4 linked regions of the Schizosaccharomyces pombe genome follow. The main gene of each other region encodes a partner of the protein of the gene in region 4 in a complex. Each region holds a gene or a part of one and is shown on either strand. Other genes may lie near its edges.

Region 1 (4,170 bases), 2.4 Mb from region 4:
TTGTCTACGCTGTTGAGTTTTCTCATCGTTCTGGACGTGATCTTCTTAACATGGCTAAAAAGCGCACGAATGTCATCCCCATTGTTGAGGATGCTCGCCATGTTCAAAAGTATCGTATGTTAGTCGGAATGGTTGACGTTGTTTTTGCAGACGTTGCTCAACCCGATCAGGCTCGTATCGTTGCTTTGAACGCCGCCGCCTTTTTGAAAAACGAAGGTGGAGTTGTTATCTCTGTTAAGGCTTCTTGTATTGATTCTACCGCTGATGCAGCTGTTGTTTTTGCTCGTGAGGTTAAGAAAATGCAAGAGGAAAAGATTAAACCTCAAGAACAACTTACTTTAGAGCCTTACGAACGTGATCACTGTATCATCGTAGGAAAATACTTGAGACATCAGTAAACAGAAATATATGCCATAAGTGCATGCTTTTTTAGTTTATCATATAATTTTTTTTGCTAGAAAAGCTTATGGTAAGGCCGTGAGCAATTGGAATAATAAAAATATATTTTGGGTATGCGTTTGGCAGTTTTGTCAATTATTTTCTCATTGTTTGATCCAATATGGGAATTATGGAATATATATTAATGCCGTTAGCATTCTTTTTTTTGAACTATCGTACGCACAGCTACCGAAAAAGAGTTTTAGTATGAGTATTTAAAATGGCTATCATTATTTTTAGCTGCTAAAAAGAGTTATGTGCTTTATCGCATGCTAAAACATAACAGGGTCTTTGAAATAAATCATCTTATTATAATACTGAAAAAACTTAGTAGACATAAAGAACAATATTTAATTTATGTAACCTTTGGGATTATAAATAAGGATAAGTCTTATAATTCCAAAGGGGAGTTTTACGTCTTCCTTTTGCAGCAAAAGATATCCCATTATTGTATTCTGAAGGCAACTTGAAATAGTTTTCTAAATCTTTAAAGTGATATTCATGGGATTTGCTCCATTTTGGATTTTTGGTCTTTGTAATAAGTTGAGCATTAACACCTTCAACAAAATCAGGCTGTTTAAGCATATAATAGGAAACGATATGATCATAGTAAAATGCTTCAGATATACTCCACTTAGCAGCAGACTTAATAAGTCGATTGGTAACAGCAATTGAAGTCGGAGATTTGCTATACAATGTTTTAACGGTAGATTTTGCAAATTCCGCTAAAGCACTAGTGTTTGAAGCATATTCTTTTAACGCACGAATAATATCAACGGTATCATTTTTGCAGAAGCATTTATTAATGACATCCATAACGTCTGGAGTAAAAGTGGGTGGTGAACTGCTAGCAAATTCGGCAAATTCCAGGATTGTATTATTGATTTTAGAAATATCAGACGTGTTTAACTCTGCAAGCCTGTCCTCCAAATGAGGAAACATATGCTTCGGAACGAAATGAGTTGCAATTCCAGTACGCAGGCAATCATATCCTTTTACGATTTGAGATGTCAATCCCAGATAAGTTCCAAAGTATCCTGGTAGTCTACTGAAGAAGAAACTGGCAGCCACGTCAGTAAAATAGCCAATTCCGGTTTCTGGCATAGCAAACATCGTATCTTCACACGCAATACGGAAAGGAACATGCATAGCCAAACCAGATCCACCTCCCATGGTGATGCCATTCATCAAAGCCACAACTGGTTTCTGGTATGTAGCTAACGTATGGCTTAATCGATACTCTTGAGCAAATGCATGGCGAACTTCAGGTAATTTTCCATCTTGTATTGAAAGTGCTGCAGCTTTAATGTCACCTCCCGAACTAAAAGAGCGACCATTTCCTTTAAGAATAATTACCTTGGCCAGATTTGATTCTTCTAATGAAACTAGCTTTGGTAGGATTGAATCTATCATGTCAACGTTGATAGCGTTCAATACTTTTGGCCTGTTTAAAGTAAATATCCTTGCTCCATTTTTACTCTCGTATAAAACTGTATCATTTGAGGAAGTGCTATAAAATTTTGGATTTCGAATAAACGCTCTAGACATGGTGCTACTTGCATTCAAAGAAAGGAAATTTGACACACTTGTTTTAAGTAAGGATTGCCTTAACATAAATCCAGATTTTTTCAAATCGTTAGAGATATTTAATTTCAATCCCATGAAAGCTAACCAAGTTAAATAACACCGATTATTTTTGCATAGACGGTTAACGTCTCTTCTACGTTACTTTATAACGAAGTGTGTTCTTAATTGTGAACTAATAACAAATCACAAAAGACCATTCGTAAAACAAAGTAGGTTTCCATGCATTAGCTGGGCAAATACTTGTCTCAAAAAATCTATATTTAGTATTAATTTAGTTTCTCAGGGTTTGTCGATTTTAAAAGTCTTAAACCACTTGTTGCATAGCATTGAGTACTCAAAACTGTTATTGTAATACACAGGTGCTATTTGCAACAACAATTTAAGGTGTCAGAATGAGCAAATTCCAAATATTTAATGTACGACATCACATAGTATAAATAATTATTTCTTCTATTTTAGGTAATGAATGAGATATCATTAATTTATCTAACAGTATACAGTCATAAAGTTCCTGTTGCATAAAACAACGTAATTTAATGAACTCGATACTTTACGCTTTACGATACTTTTGAATGCACAATATGTTATAATGAAATGCATTGTGATACTTAGTACATTGTGTTAGACTAATTGAAAGTAAAATACATCCATTCTTCAGGTACTAGTCGTCCATTTCACAAACTAATCAGAATGACAGCAAAAATGTTGCACTTGGTGCGATATAAATTTCCGTCGTTGGAGCCCGCGAGTCTTTTTCTTATTCCCGGAAGTTTCCTGCAAGAAAGATTTCGTCGAGATATTTTGCATCGTGCCGTTATTTATGAAGCAGATAATGACCGTCAAGGCACTGCTAGCTCAAAGCGCCGAAATGAAATTACTTGTTCCGGTCGAAAACTTTATCGACAAAAAGGTACAGGACATGCACGGGTAGGCGATGCCTCAAGTCCTATAAGAAGAGGTGGTGCTAAATCACATGGTCCTAAGCCTAGAGATTTCAGTACAAAATTACAAACCCAAGTTTATAATTTAGCAATGAGGATTGCGCTAAGTACAAGATTTATTAATAATGAACTGACCATCCTTGAAAATCCCATCAACTTAAGTCAACCAAAAACACGGATTTTGCTTGAAGTTTTGAAGCAACACAAGTTAGGACACGAGTACGGGAAGGCACTTTTTGTCCTTAACGATAATTACTTTGAAGATGAGTCCCTTAAAAATAATAATTTATTGCTTGCATCTAGACAGTTAGGCTACCATTGCTCCTTTATTCCTGTTGGTGAGTTTCAGGTTCGAGATGCACTAAAATTCGGTAAACTATTTATTGATTCTGAAGCCATGTCGTTAATTGTAGAGAAGTTTGCTCAACGAAATACACTAAGTGATATGGATCAACCTGCTTCCCTGACTGCTTATGTTGATGCAAATAGTAGTTCTTTTACGAAATCAAAACCTGAACCGTCTTTATCTCTATGATATGAAATAAACGCATATCTTTCAATTGTTTTTGAATTTCATGAATCTACATTTTCCGATTTTGGTAGTTACGGAAACATTATAATCCACAATCATTAATTCTTTTTTCAATCCTTTCTCTTGTCGTGTTTAAATTTTTTAATTTCGGCTTATTTAGTTTACTGTCTTGATTAGTTACCTCTTGGTTAACAATGGCTGGCATGTTCCGTATTCCTATTGCCGTCGTTCAGATTGCTGCATTTGTGCATCAAATTCATGAGTATCTTTTTCAAGTGCAAATGACATCGGGTCCAAGTATGATGCCAACATTAAATTCTGGGTATTGAAATAACGCTTTGTATTTATGGTTCTAACTTAAAAAGTGGTGAATTCGTTTTGTTAGATAAATTGCATGGTAGGTTTGCTCGTTCATGTTCTGTAGGAGATGTTGTTGTTTCGGCAAAACCTTCCGATTCAAAGCAACACGTGTGCAAACGAATCATTGGAATGGTGAGTATTTCACATGGAACGTTATCCTTTTTGTACTAATTTTATAGCCAGGAGATACAATTTATGTCGATCCCACCTCTTCAAATAAAAAAATAACTATACCTTTAGGTCATGTTTGGCTTGCAGGAGATAACATTGCTCACTCACTTGATAGTCGAAATTACGGACCTGTTCCAATGG
Region 2 (3,693 bases), 550 kb from region 4:
TTTTTTTTTTTAAATTTCTCCTCTTTCTCACGCAGTTTTTTCGTGAAAATAGTTAATTCAAAAGTTCTAATCAATTTTTTTTATAGGGACCAGAATTGCGCATTCTTATTGTCCATGCCCGCTGGAATCTTCAAGCCATTGAGCCTCTTGTTAAGGGTGCCGTTGAGACCATGATAGAAAAACATGATGTGAAGTTGGAGAATATTGACATTGAAAGTGTTCCGGGAAGTTGGGAACTTCCTCAAGGTATTCGTGCTTCCATCGCCCGCAATACATATGATGCTGTTATTGGCATTGGCGTTTTAATCAAAGGTTCCACCATGCATTTTGAATATATTTCAGAAGCTGTTGTTCATGGTCTTATGCGCGTTGGCCTTGATTCAGGTGTTCCCGTCATTCTAGGTCTATTAACAGTTTTAAATGAAGAGCAAGCTCTTTATCGTGCAGGTTTGAATGGTGGCCATAACCATGGAAATGATTGGGGATCAGCTGCTGTAGAGATGGGATTGAAAGCTTTGTATTAATTAAGTTGAATCCTTTGCTCATTTTTTTGTTAATAAAATATGCTACTGACTGTTTTGCTCTTCGAAAGGACCTACTGACATGCTAAAGCTTTAGTCATGATCCTTTATACATTGTCGCTTTCTTATGAGCACCGTCTTAGTTGAACAAGTATGTTTTTCATTCAATCGTTTGCAACGTATTTTCATGATTCCCCAGTTTGTTAAGATATACAGCTATGGGTTAATGTATACGATGTTTTAAATTTGCTTAAGACTTAATCCCAACTTATTATGTTTTGTAAGCTTTATTTTGAATATATTACTGTCTATATGCATCTTGTTCAATCACTTGCCCTTTTTACAAAAAAAGATGTTACAGAAGTATTATTGACATAGTTGTAAACAAATTTAAAGGCATTGAATGCTGGGAGCAGGAAACATGGTACTACAAGAGTAGTTTTCTTTTAGAAATGAATGTGATTTGAGACTCTTCTGATGCACAATCTACAATTTGCAACATTACGTAGCCATTGTGAATGTAAAAATTTCCAGTTAAAATCGATATCGGTGTATACAGGTAATTGGCAAGTTAAGAAAGAGCGGTCAATCACCGATTTACAATATTCATGACCACCGCGAAAGACTTATCACAATGGATCAATCGAAATCATTAGGAATCATCAAAAATTAATGGGGATTTTTTATTTACTCTTTCGAAATCTCCGATGCTGGGCTCATACGGTTGGCTGTGCTTAAGATTTTTATGATTTCAAAGCGTTTAGTCGCTGACCGAGGCCTACATGGCTGTATTGTAACTGCATCTCCAACATTACAATTTAAATCATCTTGAACCATATAGTTTTGATATTGGGTGACATACTTTTTCACCACTGGATGGAACTTTTCTTTTGCAACCCGCACTTTCGCTGTTTTTGGCATTGCACGAGAAATCACGATTCCCACATAATTTAGCTTCATTCTTCAGAGTAATTTTAGGATTAAACAAGAAAAGTAAGTAAGTCTAATCCTTTAAATACCCACAATAACTAAGTTATCAATGCGCACCGTTTTAGCAGTAGAGAGTTTTGACATTGCCCTATTTACAAATGTGCAATGAAGCGGCGTCTTTTCCCTTATAATTATTTAACATAAATAAGCTTTCCTTAAGTCAATTAATGATAATATATAAATGTGATAAACAACATAACGAGGATCGGAAAAGTATGTGTATTTTATTTTAAAGTACTTTATGGTAGGGTGACTTTGTAGAGAAGAAGAACGAGGGTTATTGACACTGTGTTTTCGCCATGTTTGACGACCCATCTAAGAGACTGACATATTTTGAATATGCTGTCGGTGTTCTTTTATGTTCATGGCCTGTTATGAAACAGGCTGTTGAAGAAGAATGGGCCGATGTCGATACCGCCGATAAACGAGACTGGATGGCAGGAGTTTTAGTTGATTATATTACAGTTACGAGCGATGTGGAAGCATGGGACGTTGAAGAATTGATTCTTCAAGTCCTGCAGGATGAATTCAATGTTGGTTCAATAGAAGACGACTCACCCTATATCGTAAGTATTCACCAATACTAAATTAGGTAAAGATTTTTTTCAAACAAGAAAGAACGTAACAAGCTTGCTTGAGACTGAAGATTCGTATATATATATTGGCACCGAAAAAATGATTTAAGTTTGAGGACGAAATATTGGAATATTAGTCAAAAGCTCGAGTTTATACACATATTGCGTTCTGTTGTCTATATTAAAAATTTTTTACTTCTATTAGCATTTAAAATAATTATCAAGTGATACGTCTATTAACAGTCTATTTAGTTGGCTCAAGATTTGGTTAATGTGTGGAAAGCTGCTTGCGAAGATAATTATGAACCTATTCGTGAAATCCATGAGCGTCTCGGAAAACAATTGCTTGAAAAGGAGGAAGGAAAGGAAAAAACTAGAGAAGAGTCAAATCCTCCGGTATTGGTAGAAGACGAAACGATTGTTGATGCTGAGGATGGAGGAGCTGCTCAAAATCAGCAGGAAAAGCAGCAGGGACCCATTGTTGATGATGATGGATTCACCGTTGTCCAGAAAAGACGTCGTTAAAGAGGATGTACTATTCTTATATCTTTTGGTATCATTAAATGAGCATTATTGCTGGGAGCAATTGGTTTTATCTTTTTTGTATTTTGGGGGATAATAAAAATTCAAGTTTTTGGTTTGAAAATTGAAAATTGGGATCGAAATAACTCTTATATTTTTTAAGCCTTTGTAATCCGTGTCATAAGAAGATGTAGTTAAAAGTATAGAAGAACGTGATCCGCCAAAATACGAATACGAGTTAAATTGAGCAGCTTTTTCACTTCTCAAATTTTTAATACTTGTTTTTTATGAGATTAGGCTGTAAATAGAGTGTATTTTAGTCATGCAGACGTAAAAAGGCGCAAAATACATTCTTTCATGAATCGAATGGTTGTACATAAATATGTATTATTTTACTAGTCATTGATCCTTTAAAACTCAACTGCAATTCTGGCTTTCGATCCATGTTTTCCTCCTCTTCAGCAGTATTTGGTAGTGCAAAATTTCTAGCAGTTTCGATGATTGCATGGCTTTGGACCGATTCACTCGTAATATCCACTACTCTTTTCTCGTAGAGCGTGCGGATGGATCCTTGGTTGAGAAATGCAACTGCATGCAATTCACGCTGTAGGGAAAAAAGGAAAGCCCGAATATCAAGGTCTTCTTTTGTTTTAAAATGAATTCGAACGTGACACAACAAGTTATGCCTCAACCTCACAATTTTCTCAACAGAACACATTTGCACCTTGGTGTCTGGTTAGATACGGGAGGATGGTCAACCATAGCCAAAAAAAGCAAATGACAAAACTCTTTGAATTTCTCAATACTCCATGTATTAAGTTAAATTATATACAACAAAAGACGACTTATAAATTTCAATTCTAAGATGGGAATACAGTCAAGTAAATGAGTCGTAAACATAACGACTTTTTAGGAATGCTATTTATTATTTATTTTTTAACTAGCCAAGTAGTTAAGTATATGAACAACAATAATCCTTCAAAAGAGAGAATCTAACAACAAATAAATATATCGAGATGTAAACGATCAAAATGGTGTCTTTTTCATTATAGCAAACGAGCAGACATTAGGGCTAAAAGTATTGT
Region 3 (5,216 bases), 2.5 Mb from region 4:
ATTATGCATCAATTTGAACCACAACTTTAGGCTGTTTTAACTTCTCGTTCATCACCTTTTTGTCGGTGTTTATGCTCTGCTTTTCGGATATCGCCCTTAGGAGTTCAAACGATCTATTGCGGCAATCAATTTTGAGCACCGTATCTAGTGATAACAAATTATCTTTATCGGTTAAGCACGTTATTGCAGCTGCTTCAGTATGTACACATTTCACTATTTAGCAAAAATAAGATGAAACAAATGATACTACTAAGAGGTTATAATCATATCAGACTGTTTAACCATTCTTTTGTCATTTGCAATAAACACAAAATTTATAAAAGTGGTAGTATTCTTGTTAATCATCTACGTACTGTATTTAATTTGTTGTACCATAAGCCAACTCGAAATATTTTACCATCACACTGTTCTACTTTGCCCACTACACATATACAACAACACAGCGGGATAGCCCTAATTTTTAACGAAGTTAAAAAGAAGTTTGAGGGAATTTAAAATGATTCGTCTTCAAAAGTTTGGTGAAATTGTTGGGACCAGTCGTTCTTGGAAACTTCTTAGTTCAACCATCGCAAAGCGCTATTCTTCTTCTTCCAATGGAGTGAAGGAAATGACCGTTCGTGATGCTTTGAACAGTGCAATGGAAGAAGAAATGAAACGTGACGATCGTGTCTTCTTGATTGGCGAAGAGGTTGCGCAATACAATGGTGCTTATAAGATATCTAGAGGTTTATTAGACAAGTTTGGTCCTAAACGTGTTATCGACACTCCCATTACTGAAATGGGTTTTACTGGTTTGGCAACAGGTGCTGCTTTTGCTGGTTTACGTCCTATTTGTGAGTTTATGACTTTCAATTTTTCCATGCAGGCTATCGATCATATCGTTAACTCGGCCGCCAGAACCCTGTACATGTCTGGTGGTATTCAGGCTTGTCCTATTGTCTTCCGTGGACCTAATGGGCCTGCCGCTGCAGTTGCTGCTCAGCATTCTCAACACTTTGCTCCATGGTATGGTAGTATCCCTGGTCTTAAAGTAGTTTCTCCTTACTCAGCAGAAGATGCTCGTGGTTTGTTGAAGGCTGCTATTCGTGATCCTAATCCCGTTGTTGTACTTGAAAACGAAATTCTTTATGGTAAAACCTTTCCAATTTCGAAAGAAGCGTTGAGCGAGGACTTTGTGCTTCCCTTTGGCCTTGCTAAGGTGGAGCGCCCCGGTAAAGATATCACCATCGTTGGTGAGTCTATTTCTGTTGTTACTGCTTTAGAAGCAGCTGACAAGCTCAAGGCTGACTATGGTGTTGAAGCTGAAGTTATAAACTTGCGTAGTATTCGTCCTTTAGACATCAATACTATCGCGGCCAGTGTTAAGAAGACAAATCGTATTGTGACTGTTGACCAGGCATATAGTCAACATGGTATTGGTAGTGAAATTGCTGCTCAAATTATGGAGTCTGACGCATTTGATTATCTTGATGCTCCTGTTGAACGTGTAAGTATGGCAGATGTTCCCATGCCTTATAGTCATCCTGTTGAGGCTGCTTCTGTCCCAAATGCCGATGTTGTTGTTGCTGCTGCTAAAAAATGCTTGTATATTAAATAACAAGCTCAATTGTTGAGTCATCTGTTTAATAAAACCCGCTCTTTTCCCTTTTCCGAATAGTTGATATCTACGTATTTCGCTTTCTATTATTTTTACATTATCTACAAAGTGTAAATATCTAAGATGCTTGTCTTTAATGACTCAGATTATTGTGTGTGGGTCTTAGATGGTTTTAATTTCTTTGCAATTATTTGCGAAGATATGATTTTTCCAACCATCTTTCCAATTGGTTATCCGGGTTGGTATATCTACCTTTCAGGATAGTTTTGCTTCGTTTATCCTTAATATATGTTATATTGTATATATTACTAAATTCGTGTAAGTTTTTTAACGTAATCTGAAAGCCAGTGAACTTCAATTATATTATATTACAGCTAATGGAAATAATACGCTATATGAATATGTTCAACTATTTGGTGTCTATTATACTCTACTTAACTACTCGTAACCTCTTAAAGCGTAGAATATTAAGTACTTGATCCCACTAAACCTATTTACAGGTCTATCTTTAGTCAATGCACCAAAATGTTTCCATGTGGGGTTGATGAACTACTTATCCCACATCATCCGCTGTAGTATATCTAAGTAGACTTGCGCTAATAATACTTACAATAACAGAATTTCAGAATCCTTGCAGATGAAATCATAGTAGTGTCTTTAGCCTTATTATTGTTGTTTTTATTTCGTTTTGCCTTTAACTTTAAGCAACCACATTCCCTAGGAGCCTTCCCTAATTTTTGGTATAAAATCATGGCTAGCAAAGCAATCCTGGAAGAATTAAATATTCTCTCATCAAAAATATTTGGCACTCAGTATAAATCAAACAACTCGAGAACGGGTCGCAAATTTGTAGTACAAGAGCTGAAGGGAGCAAAACTGAAGAGCTACTATCCCGCAACTATCAATTATCGTCAATTAAGGACCCTTTTAAATGATAAAACATTTCCCGATAGTGATGAGGAATTGCGAATGGAAATCAGGAAAGGGTATGTTAGTTGTTAATTGAGATTGAATGTTTCTTTCACAAGAAATTAGCTAATTAAAATACTAGGAGAATACGCCAAGGAAAAGGAGCCTCCAAGTCAAAAAGTATGTAAAGCTTACTATAAAACCGAATTAGGAACCTTCTAACTCCTGTTTAGAAAAATAAATAATTGAAAATTGTGCCTTTCTAATACTTTGCGGTTACATTTCGCACATTTTCTTTCCAATTATTATCAAATGGGTAACGGCTAAACAGCTTTGAACGAAACTGATAAACTAAGTTTAATTATAAAAATTTTGTTGTTTCATAAACAAAAAATATTATATATCAACTGTGTGCAACAATACTTAACATTTTGATCAGTCGTAAGGAAATTTTTTCTGATGAAAAAGAAGATCTCGCAGTTTTCTAATAGATATTCTTTTGGTCGGAAGCATAGCGTACTGGATATTGTAGAGTTGCTCAGCAGGTATCGCTGGAACTGGGCAACCTACGAGCAAACTAATCAAAGTAGTTTTTGAAAGGTAATGCGAAATTAACCTACGCGCCAGTTTCCGATAATGCTCAAACATGGATCCAAGAGACATCGGTTTGGAGTTGCAATTGAGATATAGCGTTGCGAAGCCGTCTTGTTTTAATGGTTCAAAGCTGACTATCTCAAAATTCAGCCCACTTGGTATTCTATAAGGATCTTTAATTCGTAACATTGTAACAAATAATGGGAAGTGATTCAGGAAGGCTAACATAGTTTCACAGATTGCCAAGCATGTCATCACGGATACTCGTGTTAATGCAAATGCTGCATAGAAAACATATATTGTAGGTAAGAAGAATATTAGTACCGTAAAAAGGATTGTTCCTAAAAGTAGTTGGTCTAAATCATACTCATATGAGTCGATTCTATTTCGTAAAACGTTTCTTTTTTTTCCTCGAAAAAGCTGCAGCAAACTATAAATTACACGTAGCTGCCAATTATACAAACGTGATGAAGCCAAATAAAGCAAATGTATATGAATAGTCATAACACTTAAAAAATCAGAAATTAAAGCGATCATTAAACTAGCACCCCCAAACCCAGAAATAGCGACAACTTGAACCAAAAATGGAGTCCAAGGCAAACAATGCAAAAGAAAATTACTCCATACGTCAATAACCCATACAGAAAGCTTCATAATAAACTTGCAAATGTCGTTGTTTAGTTTTAATCCAGCAGGAGTATCCACGAGCCATATAACCATAGAACGAACGTTTTTTATCGCATACTCGAATGTGATATTTTCTATTAATTTTACCACCAGATGAAGATTCTCTAAAATAAATGAACTCATTGTAATCCCAAAGATCATGTCATTCGCAACCAACCAAAGGTTGTTATAGAATCTAATATATTCTTTGTAATCCTCTATCGCAACGCGCTTGCTTTTCCGAAAAACCCATAATTTCATATATTGTACAGGCCAAAAACACGCTTGTTGCAACCTCAAATCTACTTGACGAGCAGAAACGAAAATATCCATCATATTATAAGATAAAGGAATCGGTCGGTAATTAATCGCCAAGAGTATAACCTCATTAATTATCCTCAATAATATGATAAAGTAAGCAAACAGCGAATTAAAAAAATAAAAGGTTGATGACGAGACACGATCAAAAAGTCGAAAAACATATGAATTTTTTTTGTTATTATTTTCATGTGTTAACATGCGAACCTCGAAGGATTGATTAAGAAGCTCAATTAAGCCTGAGCGTAGACTCCTTTTCCAGCTATTTTCTTTGCGTCGGGGAAAGTGCAATTTCAATTTTTTTAACAGTATTTGCTGGTGTTGCATGCTTTCGTATTCAGGGTTTGACTTGTTAATAAAACTATCTTTTAACAATAAAAGCGATAGAGGTTCAAGGGAAAGAAATTGCATTTTTCTTGGCTGCGGAGGATGATAATAAATTATATGCAGATTTATTTTTAAAGGCGTACTAGCCGAATCGAAAACTCGGGGATGAGAAAGCTCAGTCGATTGCTGCACTTTGATCCAACAATCAATTTCATATTTGTCACCCGGCAAAATATCGGCAGAGCAATTAAACGTGCCTAATATACACAGAGATTTAATATCTACTGATTGATCTTGATTTTTGCAATAATCAACTAAAAAATTAGCGAAGGATTGATAACTAGTAATTGTTGTCACAACGATAAGATCGTTGGTAGAGTACTTCCAACCAACTAAGTAACCAGAATCGGTATAAGAGATCGTACTTTTGGGCCAATATATCCGTTTCACTTCAATTGGAGCCGAAGCTATATTCATGGTTGTGGTAGACATTTGAAATATAATATTGAATGCTCTGAAGTCAATTCCGAAGTGTTTAATAAAAAAGACAAACAAGTAATAACAGACTTTAGAAGCATACAAAAAACTTTTGTTAAGAAAAATATAACAGGAGATGATACTGCTCTCTCCGGTGTTTAGAACTCAAGTTGTAAAATCAAAAACTTCCTCGACGTAAAAGCTGTTCCCTTGCAGAAATGCCACCGCTAACTGACGTTGAGTTACGAGCTTCGGATTCAGCGATTCGTTCTAAAAGAATGAAAATAAAAAATCCTAAAACGGTAAACAGTAGTACGTATGAAGGAAC
Region 4 (3,844 bases):
GACCAAACATTGCGAAAATTTAAGCGTGAAACCACTACCACAATTGACTGGGAATACTAGGGGTTTTTGGCAAAAATTGGATAGATGCCAGGACGCTTCTTGGAAAAGAAGGATGCCCTAAACAAGGCAAGAAGTGTTTTGTTCTGGTGAAGTGCGTTTGAGTGTTGAGTCGTTACAAACATCAACAGAAGTCCCCTTTAATCTACCATTGGTTAAAATTCAGATGATCTACGCTCGATCTAATGAATAAGCGAACGCTAATGAATGTATACTGAGTTTTGTAATTAAGGATGCCGTGTTTGAATGCACTAATGAATAGTGGTAGCGCTCCATCGTATATTGTGAGCTATGGCCAATATGCGTAATTAGTTCTAGCTGGATGAAAGAGTAAATAATCAGAAATCTATTAAGGAAGTGATAAATTACTTTATGGTATGCAGTGCACAATAATGGGACTTATAGTCATCTGGTAATTAAGCAAAAAATGATTCTGTAAATGGATATTTTCGGTATTATTTTAATTTCCGTTGACAGAAATGTAAAATGGATGGTTATCATTTCATTGCTCAAATCCAAGATTAATGAAAATTCAGCGGTAAGCATATTTGGTTGTTACACGTTGAGAGTCGGTTTACTCATGACGATTATAATAAGATAAAGGGATACAACCATCAAATTGCTGCTACATGGCCAATAATAAAAAAATCATTTGCAATACGAAAGGAAACGAATTCATTTATTATAACATGCAGAAGTAATAACTTCCTGCGACCAGCATTAGTTTGAATAAATAGAGTAACAAACTCATCGATTTAACTAAGAAAATTGTTATAGGCTAGCAAAACAGAATAGTAATATTAGAGGGTAATGCAAACATTAAGCTCAATCTCGCAGTATTGTCAAACTGAAAAGATAAAAGAAGGTAGAGACAGTTATTAGACAATAAATCCTGTTAAGTAGAAAATCATAAGATAGGGGAGGGGTTAAGCAAAGATACCAGGAAAAATTTAGAAATGACAAAACAAAAAACGAATATTTCCCAAAAATGTCTAGCTCTTAAATCCGCGGAGAAGTAAAAAGCAATATATTATTTTACTTCAAAAGGGGGTTTTCGAGCATTCTCGTCTTAAATGAAAAGCTATGAGAACAACGATCTCCAAATACATTAATTTAATATGGATTTTCGTAACCAAGAAATAGAATGAAATGTTCGAAGAATCACTCAATAACCCCAACGACGCATGTTCTTTGCTAAGTTTACAAGTCGAACAATTCCAGCGCGGAACCTTGCCCTGTGTCTTTCTGAACGAACGCGGGATCGCTTTTCGGATGGTTTTTCATAAAATCTCTGTGAACGGAATAGCCTTGGCACATTATTCCTTTGACATATTCTATCAACTTGTCGAAATGCTCTTGTTAGACTATTTCCAACTGTCACACTTGCACCTAAATCTTTTGTTTCTGCTGCGGGTATCATAAAATGAAGCGAATCTTGGAACGCACCATGCTCCTCTAAATATCAATAAAGTATTAGCAGACAATAATCCAACAATCGAAAATCATATTCTTGAAAGACAATAGCAACTTCAATGGATTTTCTTCGTACCTTTTCTCTTTTGCAATTTCCTATTTGTATGTACCCATCTGACCCCTAGAACACCTGGGAAATAAGAACTGTTCATTTTAAATAGTTATTTTGCGTTTTCTTGGCAATTTGAGAAGCCTGAATCTCACCGCAGTACAACTGCATAAAGAATTCGTTAAATTGCCTTGAACATCGATTTTTTGCATTAGCGTAAAAGACATAAAATTCATAAACTAAAAATAGGATAATCACATTTACACTTCACTATATACCTTTACATGATACACATGAATCTGTTTTCCTCCAACAACTATGCAGCGGCAGAATACGCGTAAGTAATTTCAATTTCATTGCTAAAGAATTTATCTAATTTTATTTAGAGGCTGCCGGTATGCCAATGATGCCACAGGTTCCTATGGTTGGCAACGGCGTTCCATATGTCGTCCCAATCCAACCTGTATTCGCCCCTTTACCTCCTGATTACAGGAGCTTATACAAAAAATTGTATGGCCAAGGCGCTTTTTTGGTAGATAATCCTGTTGAGGCAAGTAGTCCCTATGATTTTTCGCAGCCAATTCTGAAGTTTGGTAAACTTCCCATAAAACAAGTTTTAAGAGATAATGAATCGCAACAAAAAGATAGAAAAAACTTACCCCGAAATCAAAAAAGTAATGAGATTCAGGAGAAACAGACGTTTCAAACACCTTCTTCAGAGAAGTCTACAACAGAAAGGGAATCGCGGCCGTTTGTCCCTCCAAATAGTCAACAAATGCGGCGGATGCTCTTTATTGGTAATATACCGAAAGAATTGGATGATTTTTGGATGGATAAAATTCTTCGATTGTCCGGGAAGCTGGCTTCTTGGCGAAGGGTTGCTGATGCAGATAACTCGATGACTTCGTTTGGATTTGCAGAGTTTGAATCAAATGAACAATTCAGTAGAGCATTAGAAGCATTAAATGATTTTGTTGTTCCACCTTTGTACGAAGGTGGTCCTTCAACTCGCTTGTCATTGATTACAGATGTTGAGAATGAGGGATTGTATCGTGAATGGCAAACGAGTCGTTATGCAAGAAATAAGCAGAAAGAGATAAACATTTTACAGCAAATTCGCTTTAACCTCGAAAGAATTTGTCAAGATATAGGCAATTTTGATGTCCGTTCTCGCATTGAAAGGGCAGCTCGACAGGCCCGAGAGAAAAACGAAAAATTACTACAAAATGTCAAAACTTCGGAAATTCCCATTAATGCTGCTGATTTAGAAGGAATTAATCCTGAATTATTACCGGTTATTGAAGAAGAAATACGATCCTTTCGCGATCAATCTGCTATGAAAAAACGAGAAAAACAAAGGTCTAAGGACGAGTATGCCAGTTTATATAAAGAGTATACACGAAAAGAACAAGAAAAGCTTCGAAAGCAAAATGATGATTTACAAAACCTTTTGTCAAAACATCGTATTTCACGTATCCCTATGTCTACAGTCAATGCCTTTTTAAGAGCAGAAGATAGCATTCCCGAGTCGTTCTCCGATGAACAAGCTTATTATGAAGAGAAGAGAAGGAAGGATCAATTGGAGGCTGAAGAGTATTACGCAAGGGAACGGCGCTGGATGAATCGTGAAAAGGCCCGAACTGCAGCTTTAGAACGAGAAGCTGCTCGTGAAGAAGAAGAACGTGTTAATAACACTTCCTTTGGTACTTATCTTTCGGAAAAATTAGCTTCTTTTGATGACGATGAGGAAGCTCGCGTATCTCGAGACGAATATTTTGTCGATCGTGCTGCTTGGATTAGACATCGTGCAGTTGCTCGTGCTCGAGAAGAAGACGCAGATGCTCTTGACAGAAAGGAGGAAGAAAGAGAACTACGTACCCGTGGAGAAGGTGCAACCGTTGAGACAGAGAATTATGTCGAAAATGGTAAGCTGGTGACTAGTGAAATGCCTCAACATGAAAATGGTCCCTTCAAAATCAAAATACAAACCAAGAAACCAGCTGTTCCTTCTGAAAGACGAGAATTTGGACTTCCGGAGAGACTGCTTTTGGAAGAAGAAGACGAAGAACCGCAAGGCTATTCTCCCAACCCTCAAAAACCAAAGCCTGCTATGGAAGAAAATGATGCCGAGAAGACGAAAAGACTTCGTTCACTTATTGAAAAGATACCTGTTGAAGCAGAAAGTCTGTGGGCACTACCAATTGACTGGAGCAAGGTTACTGAGGTTTGTGATTTTTTCAACTTTTATATGTATCTAAACTAACA

What was found.
Region 1: mrp21 (region 4) and snr1 share a complex: the UniProt entries of both Schizosaccharomyces pombe proteins name them as parts of the mitochondrial small ribosomal subunit.
Region 2: mrp21 (region 4) and mrps17 share a complex: the UniProt entries of both Schizosaccharomyces pombe proteins name them as parts of the mitochondrial small ribosomal subunit.
Region 3: mrp21 (region 4) and rsm27 share a complex: the UniProt entries of both Schizosaccharomyces pombe proteins name them as parts of the mitochondrial small ribosomal subunit.

The regions. Positions count from the first base shown.
Region 1 is NC_003423.3:2,978,992-2,983,161, reverse strand, and holds snr1 (mitochondrial 37S ribosomal protein mS47 ), read right to left. Parts: upstream 2,161-4,170; 5' UTR 2,101-2,160; coding exon 811-2,100; 3' UTR 722-810; downstream 1-721. Other genes in the region: fib1 (fibrillarin, rRNA and histone methyltransferase), read left to right, coding at 1-398; yml6 (mitochondrial 54S ribosomal protein uL4m), read left to right, coding at 2,716-3,501; mmp1 (endopeptidase catalytic subunit), read left to right, coding at 3,693-3,820, 3,864-3,990, 4,038-4,170. UniProt on the Schizosaccharomyces pombe protein: Component of the mitochondrial ribosome (mitoribosome), a dedicated translation machinery responsible for the synthesis of mitochondrial genome-encoded proteins, including at least some of the essential transmembrane subunits of the mitochondrial respiratory chain.
Region 2 is NC_003423.3:1,165,724-1,169,416, forward strand, and holds mrps17 (mitochondrial 37S ribosomal protein uS17m), read right to left. Parts: upstream 1,575-3,693; 5' UTR 1,482-1,574; coding exon 1,209-1,481; 3' UTR 797-1,208; downstream 1-796. Other genes in the region: rib4 (6,7-dimethyl-8-ribityllumazine synthase), read left to right, coding at 87-524; rRNA processing protein Tsr2, read left to right, coding at 1,811-2,077, 2,339-2,611; DNA recombination protein Saw1, read right to left, coding at 2,964-3,326. UniProt on the Schizosaccharomyces pombe protein: Component of the mitochondrial ribosome (mitoribosome), a dedicated translation machinery responsible for the synthesis of mitochondrial genome-encoded proteins, including at least some of the essential transmembrane subunits of the mitochondrial respiratory chain.
Region 3 is NC_003423.3:3,070,047-3,075,262, forward strand, and holds rsm27 (mitochondrial 37S ribosomal protein mS33), read left to right. Parts: upstream 1-2,207; 5' UTR 2,208-2,347; coding exon 2,348-2,583; intron 2,584-2,648; coding exon 2,649-2,686; intron 2,687-2,739; coding exon 2,740-2,747; 3' UTR 2,748-2,941; downstream 2,942-5,216. Other genes in the region: pyruvate dehydrogenase e1 component beta subunit Pdb1, read left to right, coding at 497-1,597; gpi1 (pig-Q), read right to left, coding at 2,942-4,903. UniProt on the Schizosaccharomyces pombe protein: Component of the mitochondrial ribosome (mitoribosome), a dedicated translation machinery responsible for the synthesis of mitochondrial genome-encoded proteins, including at least some of the essential transmembrane subunits of the mitochondrial respiratory chain.
Region 4 is NC_003423.3:616,457-620,300, forward strand, and holds mrp21 (mitochondrial 37S ribosomal protein bS21m), read right to left. Parts: upstream 1,718-3,844; 5' UTR 1,683-1,717; coding exon 1,607-1,682; intron 1,513-1,606; coding exon 1,223-1,512; 3' UTR 735-1,222; downstream 1-734. Other genes in the region: its8 (pig-N family GPI synthesis protein), read right to left, coding at 1-10; U1 snRNP-associated protein Usp107, read left to right, coding at 1,898-1,916, 1,966-3,803. UniProt on the Schizosaccharomyces pombe protein: Component of the mitochondrial ribosome (mitoribosome), a dedicated translation machinery responsible for the synthesis of mitochondrial genome-encoded proteins, including at least some of the essential transmembrane subunits of the mitochondrial respiratory chain.